Linked DNA regions of Lytechinus pictus. The protein of the gene in region 2 binds, or shares a complex with, the protein of the main gene of each other region. Links are inferred from orthologs where the notes say so. Each region holds a gene or a part of one and is shown on either strand. Other genes may lie near its edges. The genes, in order: eukaryotic translation initiation factor 3 subunit F-like and eukaryotic translation initiation factor 3 subunit D-like.

Region 1 (8,187 bases), on a different chromosome or scaffold from region 2:
CGGTCACTTCCGTCGGGTCTTTATTCCAGCAATAATAATACACTGTCCCATGTGTGCCTATCTGTGTTAGCGATCTTCAGTGTGATGGTATTTCAGCTTAGATTTTATGATTTCACAAAGTTCAGTTTATGTAACAGTACCAGATCTAGATCCACGATGATATAGTCATACTTCACCTTGGTTTTACAGACTTTCTCACGAAATTAGTGTTTTACTGCAACTACTGTAATTTAGCTTTAACTCATAGCATAGTGAATCTCCCATCCCATTATACCCTGTAATCCAACAATCAGAAAGTCAGATATTATTGTGAATTTTGATTTTTCTTTTCCATTAGATTGGTATCTTTCAAAAAAGAAACAGGAATGCCTAGAAGCACAGTAAACACATTTTTTATTTCTTGAAAAATATTGCAGTATGGATGCTTTAGTGTAAAAAATACAAGGAAATTATTCATCATTCTTAATAAACATATATATACGACTGAATGAACATATCAAAACGTTGCATCGTAGATAATGATGTAGGGTCAATACGAGGTACTATAGGTATCAAGATGGTGCATTTCCGAGCAGCTTTAACTCACCTCATCTTCTGATTCATTGTGAGGCACACAGAAACAATTTGTGACTTCAACAACTCCTTGAATACTCGTACCTACATTAAAAAAAAAAACAGAGGCCACAATAAGGAATTATGTTAATTGAATCATAAGTAGATCAATGATGAATTCTGCAAATTACAATCTGATAAACCTACATTTTACACTAAAATAAATTGATCTCTTTGTATATAGACACAGTGAATTATTTGAATTATTTGAAAATGACCCCCCCACCTCCTCATATGTATTTTTTTGTGTTTTTAAATTTAAAAATTTCATCATTTATTTGGGTATTATTAAAGGAGAATGAAACCCTTGAAACCAGCTGAATCCATATCAAAGAGAAAAATCCAAGAAACATATCGTTGAAAGTTTGAGGAAGATTGAATGAATAATAAGAAAGTTATGAGCATTTGAATATTGAGATCACTAATGCCATGTAGATCCTCCCATTGGCAATGCGACCAAGATCTGTGATGTCACACACGTACAACTCCCTCATTACTTTAGTACTTATTTCACTTATATTCTCACTTTTATAGAGTCTATCACAAGGTGAGGTGTTCTCTTTATGAGAGGACAAGTCAGAGGTTTCACAACATTATATCATTGATGAATCGTTTGTCATATGATTAGAATGAGCAAAAAGAGATGTTTTGGGGTATATTTTCAGTGTCCAAAAGGGGAGAGTTGTTCATCTGTGACATCATAGATCTTGGTCGCATTGCCAATGGGAGGATCTCCATAGCATTAGTGATCTCGACATTCAAATGCTCAGAACTCTTCTATTGCTAGTCCTATTTTACTCAAACTTTTGTTGATCTTATTCTTTGATTTTTTTGCTTTCACAAAAGCTAACTTGCTCCAAGAGTTTCATTCTCCTTTAATCTTGGAATATGGATAATGTACATTAATTACATTTTTTTGAGAACATGACATGTAACATTATATAAACATTGACTGCTTTAGTAGGATGACTGTGTAAATTGTCATTCCCAAGGTGCTTTTCATACCAGCCCTTCTATCACCCCACTGAGGCACTTTGGAGAGAGATGAGTTCCACCGTCATCCGAATACAGAGCAGTCCATATATACCTCATTCTCGAGGTCGGCATGACGTCACAGTCACGTGATTTCCCTAACAACAAAGGGCAAAGGTGCAAACAAAGGGTGCGAGCGTACGTGTTGGCTGTGCAGTTTCCTTGAAGTTTTTTGGAAGTCGTTGATTTGAACTGTTATATTATATTTTCATCGCGTTTTGTACTGCATTTTGATTTTAATTGCTGGACAATGGTGAAAATATGTTGTGTGTACGGGTGTTCCAAGAACAAGGCAAGATGGCCAGCTTTATCCGAAGTTTTAACGTACATCACTACATGCGCAGTGAGTCGCCATGTGCAATTTTTTTACTGTTGCGCCACTCACCTGTCACTGCATGACCAAAATGGTTCTAGAAATCATTTGCAATGTTGAAAAGTGTCTTGTGGCATCTGATATTAATCCTCAGTAATTCCCTGAAATGCTGCAACATTTGGTTAAAAGATCCAGCAAAAGAAAAAGGAGTTTAGCGCAGTCAAATTCGGACTTGCAAGCTTGGTCCGTACGGTGCGAATTTTAGCTGCCATTTTTCTCGGGCGACGATTTGAGACGCCCACATTAAGCAATCGATGTTTCAAAGCTGCCTGCTCAAGTTACCAATATTTGGTATCAAAATATAGATTATAAAAAAATGCTCACGATCATTTCATTTTGAAAGTGGGGGTGACAATTGTTATCAAAATAAGAGGGGTGGCATCTCAACGTATATCTCAACCCAGCTGAGTCAATGGACTTTTGTTTGCGCGCCCCGATTGTTCCGGCTTTGTTTGCACCCTCGCGATCGGTTGCTATGATTGTTCCGGCTTTGTTTGCACCCTCGCGATCGGTTGCTATGCAGAAGTTACTTTTGCGAGTGAAAATCCCCGGATGTCCGACCTCGAGAATAAGTTTACCCAAGGGTTACTGGTATCAATACAATAGGACCACTAGATCTAGTGTAACTGAATTAATTTGCTAAATCACACTCAGATGAGTCGAGCACCAACATTAACAATCCAACACCAACACAGCTAATTTTAGATTTTTACAGTAAATACACGCGCATCTATGGGAATCGTGAGCTGTAGGAAAAGTGCAGAAAATTACACTTTTTTATACAAATTTCTGTGAAAAAAAAGTTATAGAAAGTGAAGAATATTACAATCAGACCATTTCCCTAGAAAACTGTTAGTGTTACAAGAAATTTCGAAATTTAATTTATTTTTTTATGACAAAAAATAAGACACAATTTGGTGAAGAAAAAAATCACGAAACAGGAAGGACAACACTCAACAGTCAACACGACAACAGAGTCAGGCTCAGCCGGCAGCCCTTCGTCACCCCCCCCCCCCCCCCCTTGGTGTACAGATAGGGGCTCTTCTTCACGAGTCCCCCTCGTCCACTGGCCACTGTCACTGACACAAGCCTCGGGCTCGGGCCAGGACTCAGGAGCTGCAGATGCCAGAGCCCAAAATCACGTGTGGTACACAGCGCTGGAATATCATTCATTTCAATGTACAGAATCTCCATCAAGGCATTATTTTATTTTGCTGAAGTTATTATCCTTGAATACTTACCAAGTAAAGTTCCGATTACACGTGCTGATTCATCTGTCCGCCTCTCGAAAGAGTCAACAATGCTGAATAAAACTACCGGATGGATATTCACGACTTTTGCTGAGGCCGCCATTTTGAATGCTGCCATCATTGGTTGGAGAAGGGCCAGGCTAAATAAATGTTTCTCGATCAGTCGATGGGGATGAGGGGGGGGGGGGGTGAGTGGAGCTATTTTGAGTTGGAAACAGCTGAAGAAAATGCCAAAATAGGCCCCGGTGGCCTGAAAATTATTTCCATCGGGCCAATAGCTTTAAGAATGTATCTCCAGTTGAAATTCTTACCAGCGTTTCTACATCGATCATGACTGTGTTTGCTATTATAAAAAAAAAATATATTGAAAAAGATCATCAAGTTATTTCATTAAAAAAATTGATGGGGTACAGGGGGCGCAACCAAAGCCCCCCCCCCTTCCTCCTACAGGCCTACGCAAGTGAGAATAGTTCCTCCTCTATCATGAAACAATTCCCGTGGGATGGGGGGGGGGGGTCTTGCGTGTATATCGCATACGCGGGGATGTGCCGCTCCATTTGGGTCATTTTTTGCAAAAAATAAAATAAAATAAAAATAAAACCCTTGACATGGGTCTTGCTATTGCAAGAAATCCTTAGTCATGGGTTCCTTTTTTTTCTACTGAATAATCCTTAGATATATGGGTCCGTTTCTGGAGGAAAAAAAGTAACAATATAAGAATCCCCAGGAAAGCCCCCGAAAATGTCTATGTCCCGTTTGAGAGTATATAGTCTGCAGGCACAGACCCTGATTGAAACTTTGATCAACAAGTGTGTCTCCACGCAAAGACTAGCACATACAAAGCTTTGCTGTTTCAATTCAGGAGCGACTCAGAGGGCCTTCAGTACATACATGGGTACATGGGCGGAAATCTCTCCTTGAAGGTAGGGGGGACACAATTGAGTTTTCCGTTTTTATGTTCTCCAGAATAACTAACTCAAACATATATATATCCTTAGATGTGACGGGAGATGCCGATGATTGTGCAAAGTGCTCAATGCTATATAAAGCAGAGCATATATTCATATTGAACGTCTGCTAACGGCGGTTTCGAGACCAAACCGGAAACCACCGAAGCGTCAAATTGACCCGCCGCACCACACAAAATAGTCAATAACGTCAGTCTGCCTGAAGATGTCCTCAAGTCTGGGCGTGAAACCGCCGGTAGCAGACGTTTAATAGGTATGAATATGTATACATATAGGCCTATATATATACATATTTCGAAGAGGGGAGGTATTCCTAACTAAAGATGAAAGGCCTCAATAAATAATGCGAGCGCGAAGCGCGAGCTGAAAGTTTTTTATTTTCCAACCTAAAAACTAGACATTCGTAACACTTTTTCAAATAAATCATGAACAGAATAGGAATTCAACTAAATAATAGATGCGAGCGCGAGCTGACAGTTTTTGATTTTCCAACCTAAAAAGTGGACATTCTAAGCACTTAAAGGTCAAGTCCACCCCAGGAAAATGCTGACTTGAATAAATAGAGAAAACTCAAACTAGCATAGTTCTGAAAATTTCATCAAAATCGGATGTTAAATAAGAAAGTTATGACATTTTTAAGTTTCGCTTATTTTTCACAAAACATAATGCACAATTAGGTGCATGAATCAGTCGATGATGTCCATCACTCACTATTTCTTTTGTTTTTTATTGTTTGAATTATACAATATTTTATTTTTTACAGATTTGACAATAAGGACCAACTTGACTGAACCATATAGTATTAAACAAAGCTAATTCCACATGTTCAGAGAGGAATTAATTGTTGTATCACTTGACAATGAGGAAAATATAAGAATATTTCATATTTCATATAATAAAATACAAAAGAAATAGTGAGTGGATGACGTCATAGTCTCCTCATTTGCATACCAGCCACAATGTGCATATAACTGTTTTGTGAAATTTAGCGAAACTTTAAAATGTCATAACTTTCTTATTTTACATCCGATTTTGATGAAATTTTTTGTGTTATGCTTGTTGGATTTTTCTCTTTTTATTCAAATCAACTTTTTGTTGGGGTGGACTTGTCCTTTAATAATGAACGGAATAGGAATCTAAACAATGAATGCGAGTGCGAAGCGGGAGCTGAATGTTTTTTATTTTCCAACCTAAATAATGGACATTCTTAGTACTTAAAAAAAAAATTATGAACAGGATAGGAATCTAAACAATTAATGCGGGCGCGAAGCGCAGGCTGAAAGTTTGTATCTTCTAACCTAAAAACTGGACAATCGTAACACTTTTTCAAATCATGAACAGGATAGGAATTTTACTAATCAATATTAGATTCGAGCGCGAAGTGTGTACTGAAGATATGTCATTTCCGGCCTAAAAATTGGTATTATTAGCCTATTTTAAAATCAAGGACAGGGTAGCTATTTAATTAAATTTTTATTAATGTGAGCGCGAAGCGTATCTTTATTTTTTTCCGACCAAAAAGTCATCTTCTTTTAACCTTATAGCAATATAAAAACAGGATAGCATCTGACGCAACCATATTACTGATGCGAGCGCGAAATTATTATTTTTTAATATACAGATCTGAAAACTGGATCTTTCAAGCACTTTTGAAATAAATAACAAGCAGTATATCTCATAAAGCAATGCGAGCGCAAGCTAATAAAGTTACTGGGCGGTGCCGAAGCTTAATTACCGGGCGGTGCCCGCTCAGCGTTATTAAAGACATTTTTATTTTTTACCTATTTTCCACAAAAAAATAAAAGATGAAGGGGAAAACCTTTAATTGACAATAATTTTATTTTTTGCTCTCGAGAGGGGGCGGGGGCACAATTAGTCAAATATCGGATGTACCCCTACCTAGGTCTGCCACCATGGACTGAAATCGGTGGCGTCGTGAGCCGAAAATTTTTATGGTGCCAGATTTGGTGTATATCAGGCAAAGTTCATAGAAAGCTACAAGTGAGCGAAGCGAGCGAGAATAAATTTCTACTTTTTAAATACAAAAATCAAGTTTTGTGATAGATTTAGATGTCACATTGAGGAAATAATATTATATTTTACTCTTAATTCTCTCTTTCCTTTTTTTTTCGGGGGGGGGGGGGATCCCCAAGCCCCCGCATCGATCTGTACGCCACTCCCTAAAACAATAATAATCATGATGATGATGATAATAATAATAACAATACTAATGAAAATAATAATAAATATAATAATGATGATACTAAATATTTTAATGGTAATATTTCATTTAAAAAATAATGATGAATTTTTATAATTGAATAGAGCATACAATACTCAAGTTGTGTAAAATTAAATGGAATGGCGGTCAAAAGGGGTTGGAGGTGAATGGAGTGAGAGACCAGTTTCTCTTTGAAGGGGGGGGGGGGCTCGACAAAATATAACAGCTTAATTGAGCCCCCGGATTGAGCCCCCACCCATAGTGGGACGCCCCTAACCCCCCCCCCCCCCCCCCCGATCACTTTTCAAACCAGGATTCTCTACTGGCCAATGAATTGTTTTTAAAAGGCATCTTATGTAGACCTAGATTCATTCCCTAAAATGCAAGGTTGATAAAATAAATGCTAAAAATTCTGAGACTGCCCCGGGAGACTGCATGTCTCCGACTCCGAGCAACTTCATCACACCACACTCAGTTAAGGAATCTATCTCTTATGTAGGGAATATTCTTTGTAGCTTTTTCCGTATCATTATGCATTATGATAATGCAAAATAAACGCCGCAATGATCACGCACGTGCGGGAATAGTTCGTACCGCACAACTTATGGCGTTTCACTTCGTAATCCAAGATGGCAGCGAGTAGCAGGCCAGGGAGCGATGTTGGATGGACAAAATGGCAAATTGCGATAGCAGTCGGAGCCCCAATAGCAGTGGCAGGACTTGCATTTGGAGCCTACTATCTTACTCGAAGTGGGAGTCCAGAGGAAAGCTCGGATACTAAGTCAGGTACTGCAGGAACTTCTGGAAATACCAAAGCCAATGGCGAAGGGGATGCGGGAAAGAACAGCAGCGTGGAACACACACAGGTGAGTAGTGCGTGGAAAGACAATGATTAGGCGAAAGACAGGGTTTGGGCTCGGCGGCACGCCCGGCGAGCCTGCATTGCCGGCTCAGCCTCCGTCCGCGGAGCTTAACCGGTTAACATGGGCATTGCCATGGCATGGCATTGGTGATTGGATTTGGAGGTTACTCTCCTACTCTCTCTGTCCTAGTCATGGCTGGCCCTTGTTTCAATTGCACAGTGCAGAATATACGAGACTACTGCCTGGAAAACTATTTCTCGGGCCCGTGGCAGGGGCGGGGCTTTTGCAAAACCACAAAAATTCTGACGTTTCTACAATTTTTTTTTTCTTCAGGAACTAACTTTTAGAGAGACAAATTACATTGTGCCACCAGTCCACAGCTCATGCCTTATCAGTTTTGATATGACAATGGTTTATCAAGTGTGGTAAAATTAGGGATATTAATAATATATAAATCCTGTGAGGGAAAAAGGGTGGAAAGTGCGGTTAAAAGGGAACTTTAGAGATAATCACCAGACAAAAGTTGGTGTGAGACAACGGTGAAATGAATATCGAACTAAAAAGCAGGCCCAAACTTACTTGTAGGATGTTGTTGGTGTGAAGTATTTGCTGTAGATGGTTGCAGGTGTGATGTATAGTTGAAACTCGAAGGGTGAAAGGGCGAAGCAAAGGTTGATTTGTGTAGATGGCTCTAAACACAGACGTCCTCGTCTCGCACCGGTTGACTCTCAAGTGATCAAGATGGCTTCCACGCAGGCAAGGCCCCTTGCGAACGCACAGCCGTCCGTTCGCGATCTCCCCATTTAGGGACGTGCGCGTACCCATACCCTGTGGTCTTACTCTTAGGCACTTACGACCACACAAGTAT
Region 2 (7,766 bases):
ATAGCCATTAGTCTCTCAACGGGAGGGTAGGGCGGGAAAGAGGGAGGGGGCGGAAGCTGAATGTTCTGTTGACCCTTATTCCATCAACCTACTTCTCCCACTTAAGTCCTATCTCACCCTTTACTCTCCCGACTCCCATGAACACATTGCTGAGATCCAAATGATAAAGTTGAAATGCTGCCAAAAAAGTGTAATTTGTGTTCACTCATGCATTAAAGTTCAATTCAATAATTTAAAACATTTGCTTAAGCAACCAAGACTGGTCACGGCTGATCATTAATTTATCACAACGCCCTTAACTTTGCAAGTTCGAAAGGATTTGCCTCTCAAAAACTGACATAAATTGGAAGGCTAATTCCAGCCCACCCTAATTTTCATACCCTTTGTTTCAGTGGGCAGTGCTCGCTCAAGCATGAATAGTTTTCCAACTTTTTGGTGTCATTTGAAAGTTGACTTTATTGGCTTTCCACATATGTAAGTCTTTTTCCCCAAAGTGCTACATTTTTTATTTGGCAGCCATTTCAAAAGTGTATAGTTTTTTTTGGGACGCACTGTATATTACGAAAATCTGATGTACCCTGATTATTTGCAAGTATTAAGAAGAGGAATTATGACCTCTCTTTTGACTCAAAAAGACCGATTTCCACATGAATTAATACACATAAAAACACATAGGCAAGTACATCACAGTCCCACGTGTGCATTTGTATGTATGTTGATACTTGGTTTTTTTTTAAGCTGTGTATTTTCTAGCCAAAAACAAACAAGACAGTTTCTTTCTTTCTTGTTTATAAATGACTTCTTAAACCACTCTTGAGAGAGTAAATACTTTGGGAAGGCAAGGCAATTCATTGATATGAAATGTGATTTTTTTTCCCAACATTTTGGCAAATATAGGGAAGGACTTTTCTCACACTTTTTTTCCAGATATAAATTTTGCCGTTTTCTTTTTTTTTTCCTTTCATTTTTTTTTGACAGTGGTTAAACCATTTATACCCCTTCCCATTGAATATGCCTGATTAAAAAATATGTTTCTACTGAAAATAAAATAATACAAACTAAAGGATATAAAAATGAAAATGTGCCATTCCCAAAAAGTAAGTGAAAATTATTTGCTTGGCTTTTAATTATATTCCAGTCAGAATAGACTGTTGCCACAGCTGTTAAAAAATATATGTAATGGCTTCTTAATTTTCCACTTTTCCCCATTTTTTTATTAACTGTTTTATTAATTTTTCTTTCATTTTCTTTCCTTTTTTCTCTCTAATTTTTTTCTTTTCTTTTTTCCCCTTCATTTTCTTTCTTTTGTTTTATTTCACTAATTTCTTTTATTATTTTTGTTTTCTTTTTGTAATATACTTTTTGAAAATTATTTTCGTTTGTTTCTCCCTTTTATGCATTGTTCTAAATTTGCAGCATATTTTTCTGTGATTTTCTCCTTCTATAATATGCTGCAAAAGAGAAAACAGAAATAAACTGGATTTGGGGCATGCATAATCTAGGTTTTAGGATTCAAAGAGGAAGGAAGGAAAAACCATTGATTTGTACATCTAACTGAATTTGCTATGCACTATTTATTTACTTTACCATTAGCTCTATACAGAGATTTAAAAAAAAAGTCCACACAACCTGCGAACAATACAATTCATTTATTCTCTTTCAATCATTTCATTTATACAACGATAGAAACATTTATAAATTAGCAAAGTAAAATAACAGCAAACAAGGTTTACATACAAGATGTATAAAGTAAAAGTAACATATAGTGGTAGTGGCTGCAGAATTAATATTTCAGAAGTTTGTTTTATTCATTTTTAATGTTTTTCTTTATATTTTTCGGGCCACCAAACTTTAATATCGGGCCACCAAAAAAAATTATTTGATGGTTTTGGTGGCCCGAACGGGCCACCACCAAAAAAAGTTAATGTGGAGCCTTGAAGTATATGTCAAATTTTTTTAAAAAGACATCATCATGGGGCCTGTTGCATGAAAGGGTCTTTCGTAGAACCATTCTACGTAAGAACGAGATATCGCTCAACTGTTTCACAAAGCCGATTTGGGCGATACGAAGAATGGTCCTTGGAAAGACACCTCCAGACATGTCCTACGTAGGCATGATCTTCTTTGGACACCACCCACCTATTGTTCTTCCCCAACGTTACCCGACGCATGCGTCTGTAACGTTGGCGAAGAACAATAGGAAACAAGATGGCGGCGAAAACATCGGGCAAGTCTCTTCCGTCTTTACACAACATTTCTCTCATTTTTTTGATGAATTCTTGTTCAAAAATAACAACGAGAGCGTAGAAATGTCGGAAATGAAGTTTTATCCCATGTACATGATTTAGGGCTAGATCTTTTAGAAAGAAAGTAGAAATTTCGGGGGCGAAAGTTTCAGGTTTTTTGGTGGTACACGCAAAAGTATATGACGGAAGCCCTGGCTTCGTACTATGAGAGTGACCTTACGTTAGTAAATGATTTTTACTCTCTAGAAGCCGCCTGGCTACCTAGGACTCCTAGGAGTAGGAGTAGTAGTACTAGTAGGACGTTCCTACGTATCGCTCATCTCGTCGTCATGGTCGTGCAACAGGCCAATGGAGTCCTCGACTTCTCAAGACTACTCATAGTCATAGTCATACACGCATCATCGACGACGTACATTCGGTAGTCGGCCCCTACCGTACCGTACCATACCGTACACATTCTACACAACATATGGGAAACTGGTAGTGGTACGCCTATGCAATAATGCATGAATGAATAGAGAGGCATTCCACTGGCACTACTATCATGTACTAGTAATTACCTTTCCGAGGCGATCTCCCTTTGAAAATGGTTGGTATGGAATATCTTTGAATTGCTTTGGAATCGTACAAGGACCCCATCCTGTTGGATTATCCTGTATCTCTGGAGGAATGAATCGGGCGCTCATTTTTATGATATTTCGGTGAGAGTCCTTCTTTTTTCCCGGTCGCCGCACACATGCACATGCAGCCAAATATCACACTAAAGTGACCCGATCATGAGATGGCGCTATTAAACCCCAGTGCCACAGAGATACGATCTTACGTATACGTAAGCTCCCGTAAGCTCCTGTACACAGCCAACATGGCTGCCGGTGGACAATTTGAAGGTTGATTTTGGAGGGTCAATGTTTTATTCATGAGAATGACGTCAAAATACGCATAATGCACTTGTATGATTGGATTAAACGCTAATGTTTTATTCATGTACTCATGCATTAAACATTTTTTTCCGTCCCACAATTCCCTACGATATCTGTGCGAAGTGTCGTTCTTTTGGACTCTGCGAATTTGAAGTTTCTGAAACGAAATAGCTAGACTAATTATCTGTTTATAGAATTGATGTTCGAAATCATGGTTTCTGAGTGAACTTCATTGGAGCGGAAAATCTTGGAGGGAACATCAATACTATTCTAATGACATTCCATAGGAATAAAAGTAAGTTACGCTCATTTTCATGTTTTGATCTCACTTGCAAATTGTAATGTGTTTGCCGGGGTTCGGGGCTCATCCTGTATTACGCACTATGTAAACCTCAATTTCAATATTTCTTTTGCCTGACTTCCAAATAAGTGTGATCATTGAGTTTCTCAAAAATACTATATCTAGGGAGTAGGGGTCTATAGTTTGTCGTAGATCTAGACATTCATCGGAATGCTTCATGTAGGTCCAAAGTAAACCTTTATTTCAGTTTTATTGTGATTAGACAATTATCAGGGGTAGATGTAACCCAGAGAGCTCCCGCCCGCGCAGCGGGCGGGAGCCCAGAAGCTTACCGTGTATTTTACCATTGTCACCGGACTAGGGTGATTTATGGTCTAAATATTTCTCCAAATGAATTGTGAAAACAGAAAGTATACAATTACCACGATTATATGGATGAAGGTCTAACGAGTGGCAGATTCCTGACATCTGGGCACAGTCTGGAACCTCAAAAAAACGAAAAGTTCTCTCCTTCTACCCCGTCTCGATCGGCCATTTTTGTTAAAAATCACTAACAAAATGGCCGATCGAGACTGGGTAGAAGGAGAAAACTTTTCGTTTTTTTGAGGTTCCAGACTGTGCCCAGATGTCAGGAATCTGCCACTCGTTAGACCTTCATCCATATAATCGTGGTAATTGTATACTTTCCGTTTTCACAATTCATTTGGAGAAATATTTAGACCATAAATCACCCTAGTCCGGTGACAATGGTAAAATACACGGTAAGCTTCTGGGCTCCCGCCCGCTGCGCGGGCGGGAGCTCTCTGGGTTAGGGTAGATGTGGACTTGTTTCCGACCTCCTGTTTTTTAGTAACGACAAAGGTCGACAAACTGTCGATTTTAGGCCTATTCAAATTTAGGTCAATGATATGTAGGGATATGGTCAGAGCGGGATCCGGCCTTTGATATCGCCGGTGCTAGCCGAGCGAGATTGTCGATGTAGTCATGGGGTATGAAAATAGCGGGGACGTATGGTGGCCCTGAAGGGACATCGCATATAGACCAAATCGCGAATATTCACGACGAAATTGGCGACGAAATTCACGACGTCGCCAATTTCGTCGTGAATTTCGTCGTCAATTTGAATATTCACGACGAAATTGGCGACGAAATTCACGACATCGTGAATTTCGTCGCCAATTTCGTCGCGAATTATTCACGACGAAATTCACGACGTCGCCAATTTCGTCGCCAATTTAAATATTGACGACGAAATTCACGACGAAATTCGCGACATCGTAAATTTCGTCGCGAATTATTCACGACGAAATTCACGACGTCGTGAATTTCGTCGCCAATTTCGTCGTGAATTTGTTTTGTTTGCCTGGGCGGTATGCGGGTTGAAACCAATTCGTCTGCTGCTAATTCCTCCACTGCAGGGTCGACCTACATTCATTTACTCTAATGCAATTCTGGCCATTAACTTTTCGCCTAACAACCATATGGTCCAATAACCATTTGGTCCAGTCATCACTTCGTCTATAATCACCAGTTCGTCTATGACCATTTCGTCTCACAACTAGTTGGTCTAATATCAATTTTATTTTCCTTAATTTCGCCCAATTAACACTTAGTTCAATTAGACAAAATGGCATATGGAATAAATGGCAATTGGACCAACTTGGTTATTAGACAAACTTGGCAGTTAGACCATGTGGATAGTGGACGAACTGATGGTAGACCAAATGAAAGCTGACGAGTTGGCATTAGACCAATTGAATAAAAAAACATTGAAACGACAGAACGATGTCCACTGCTATCCATATGCATAGGCGGATCCAGGGGGAGGGGGCCGAGGGGCCCGTCCCGTCCCCCCCCCCTATTGGCGGAGCAAAGAAAGGAAATAAGGAAAGAAAGCAAAAAAGGAGGGAAAAGAGAGTAGAAAAAAGAAGAGGAGGAGACGAGTGAATAAAGTAAGATGAGGGGAAGACATGGAAATAAAAAGAATATTTCATGTCACTTCATAAAAATTTCGCTCGTGCTTCGCGCTCACATTGCCTGTTAGGTGATTTTCATAATCTTGTTCAATATGGAGTTTAGATATCAAGTTTGGAAGTCAATATACAAAACATATTTCATCTCGAAAATCAAACTTTTATTATTTTGCGTGATTTACAAATTGATTTTTAAAAAGTGCTCTGTAAATATGACAGTTTTATGGTCTGAATATTAACATTTCCCGCTCGCGCTGCGCGCCCGCAAATTTCGATTTATCAGGTACCTATTATTTTCGTGTATTCCATAAAGTTTTCAAAATATCCCTTTTCAGGTCTGATTGTCAAAACGTATCAGCCAGCGCTACACGCCCGCATTTTGATCGTATGTCTCAATATTGATTATACAATCCCCTTTTCTTGACAATGCACAGATTTAGGCTCGCAATTTGCGCTCGCATTAATTGTTAAAATATATTAACTGATGCATCCTATTTATAATTACAAATGCATGAAATGTCCAGTTTTCAGGCCATCGACTTCACGCCCTCATTAAGCATTAATGAATAAGATATTAATTTAATAATTGAATTGTCCCTTTTGTTTCATCTTGCGCTTAGCAAGAGGAATAGGAAGACATTCATCATTTTTATATGATGAGATGTCCTATATGTCCTAAGGATGTACCGGTCCTATGTCAAAACTCAAAGAATTATAATGAAAAAAATCAGCTCTGTGTGATCCATATCCACTTTACAATTTTCTTACAAAGTGCTTGAAATATAGAATATCAAATAGTTTAAGCTCGCGCTTCGTGCTCGCTTTGATTTTCATGATAAAAGATGTATTTAGAATGCCTAGATTCTAGGTCTAAATATGAAACACGCGCGCGCATGTTTATTCAGATATTCAACTTGTTCTCTATTTAAATCATTATCCAGTTTCAGATCACAATATAAACAATTTTCTGCTCGCACTTTGTGCTTGCATCATTAATGTAGGAATTACTCATTCTTTTCCAAATTTACAAAACATGAATAGAGTGTCCCGTGTTAAGGTCTAATCTCGATTTTTTTCCACTCGCGCTTCGCACTCGCATCAATTGTTTAGTTATATAGCTATCCTGTTCACGATTACAAAAATTGATTAAAATGTTCCATTCTTTATGTAGAAATGTCAAAATTTTTCAGCTCGCGTTTCGCGCTCGCATCAATTGTTTATTATATACCTATTCTGTTTAAGTTACAAAAAGTCCTTAGAATTTCCATTTTTAAGTAAAAATTTCAAAAAATTCAGCTCGTGCATCGCGCTCGCATTATTTGATTTTTAAAATATATAACGTCTTCATGACTAACTGCATGCTGTCTTTAACAGGTACCTATTCCACCAGTTCATTTCTGCTCGCGCTTCGCGTTTGTAGTAATTATTTATTTGCATACACATCTTTTTTAGGAAAACAAACATTGCCCAGAATGTTCAAATTATAGGAAAAAATACATAAGATTTCCAAAAAAAAATTAGCTCGCGCTTCGCGCTCACATTATATAAATAAGGATTATGATATTATATATTTATATTGATTTATAAGAATAAAGCTAAGAAGACCACCCCTTCACAGAAACCAAAAATCATCTTCGAGCGGCCGATCGGGGAAAATATGGCTGAAAAATAATTCCGCCCCCCCCCCCCTATTGGCGAAGGCTGGATCCGCCCCTGGAACACCTAACAGGCAATGCGAAGTGATGACTGGATCAAATGGTTATTGGACCATATGGTTGTTAGGCGAAAGGTTAATGGACAGAATTGCATTATACTAAATGAATGTAGATCGACCCTGCAGTGCAGGAATTAGCAGCAGACGAATTGGTTTCTCAAACCGCATACCGCCCAGGCAAGCAAAACAAATTCACGACGAAATTGGCGACGAAATTCACGACGTCGTGAATTTCGTCGTGAATAATTCGCGACGAAATTTACGATGTCGCGAATTTCGTCGTGAATTTCGTCGTCAATATTTAAATTGGCGACGAAATAGGCGACGTCGTGAATTTCGTCGTGAATAATTCGCGACGAAATTGGCGACGAAATTCACGATGTCGTGAATTTCGTCGCCAATTTCGTCGTGAATATTCAAATTGACGACGAAATTCACGACGAAATTGGCGACGTCGTGAATTTCGTCGCCAATTTCGTCGTGAATATTCGCGATTTGGTCGATATGCGATGTCCCTTCAGGGCCACCATAGGGACGGACTAGGCCCAAACTTCAAGCTTGAAAGTTGAAGTTTAGGCCTAGTCCGTCCCCTCTATTTCATCTTCATATGAA

What was found.
Region 1: eukaryotic translation initiation factor 3 subunit D-like (region 2) and eukaryotic translation initiation factor 3 subunit F-like share a complex: the UniProt entries of both Drosophila melanogaster proteins name them as parts of the eukaryotic translation initiation factor 3 (eIF-3) complex. The link is inferred for Lytechinus pictus from reciprocal best matches to the Drosophila melanogaster genes eIF3d1 and eIF3f1.

What each region holds. Positions count from the first base shown.
Region 1 is NC_087252.1:22,051,336-22,059,522, reverse strand, and holds the start of eukaryotic translation initiation factor 3 subunit F-like, read right to left. Parts: upstream 3,427-8,187; 5' UTR 3,389-3,426; coding exon 3,259-3,388; intron 658-3,258; coding exon 587-657; intron 1-586. Other genes in the region: mitochondrial import receptor subunit TOM70-like, read left to right, coding at 7,086-7,322. UniProt on the Drosophila melanogaster protein: Component of the eukaryotic translation initiation factor 3 (eIF-3) complex, which is involved in protein synthesis of a specialized repertoire of mRNAs and, together with other initiation factors, stimulates binding of mRNA and methionyl-tRNAi to the 40S ribosome.
Region 2 is NC_087254.1:36,520,455-36,528,220, forward strand, and holds the start of eukaryotic translation initiation factor 3 subunit D-like, read right to left. Parts: upstream 3,136-7,766; 5' UTR 2,933-3,135; coding exon 2,807-2,932; intron 1-2,806. UniProt on the Drosophila melanogaster protein: mRNA cap-binding component of the eukaryotic translation initiation factor 3 (eIF-3) complex, which is involved in protein synthesis of a specialized repertoire of mRNAs and, together with other initiation factors, stimulates binding of mRNA and methionyl-tRNAi to the 40S ribosome.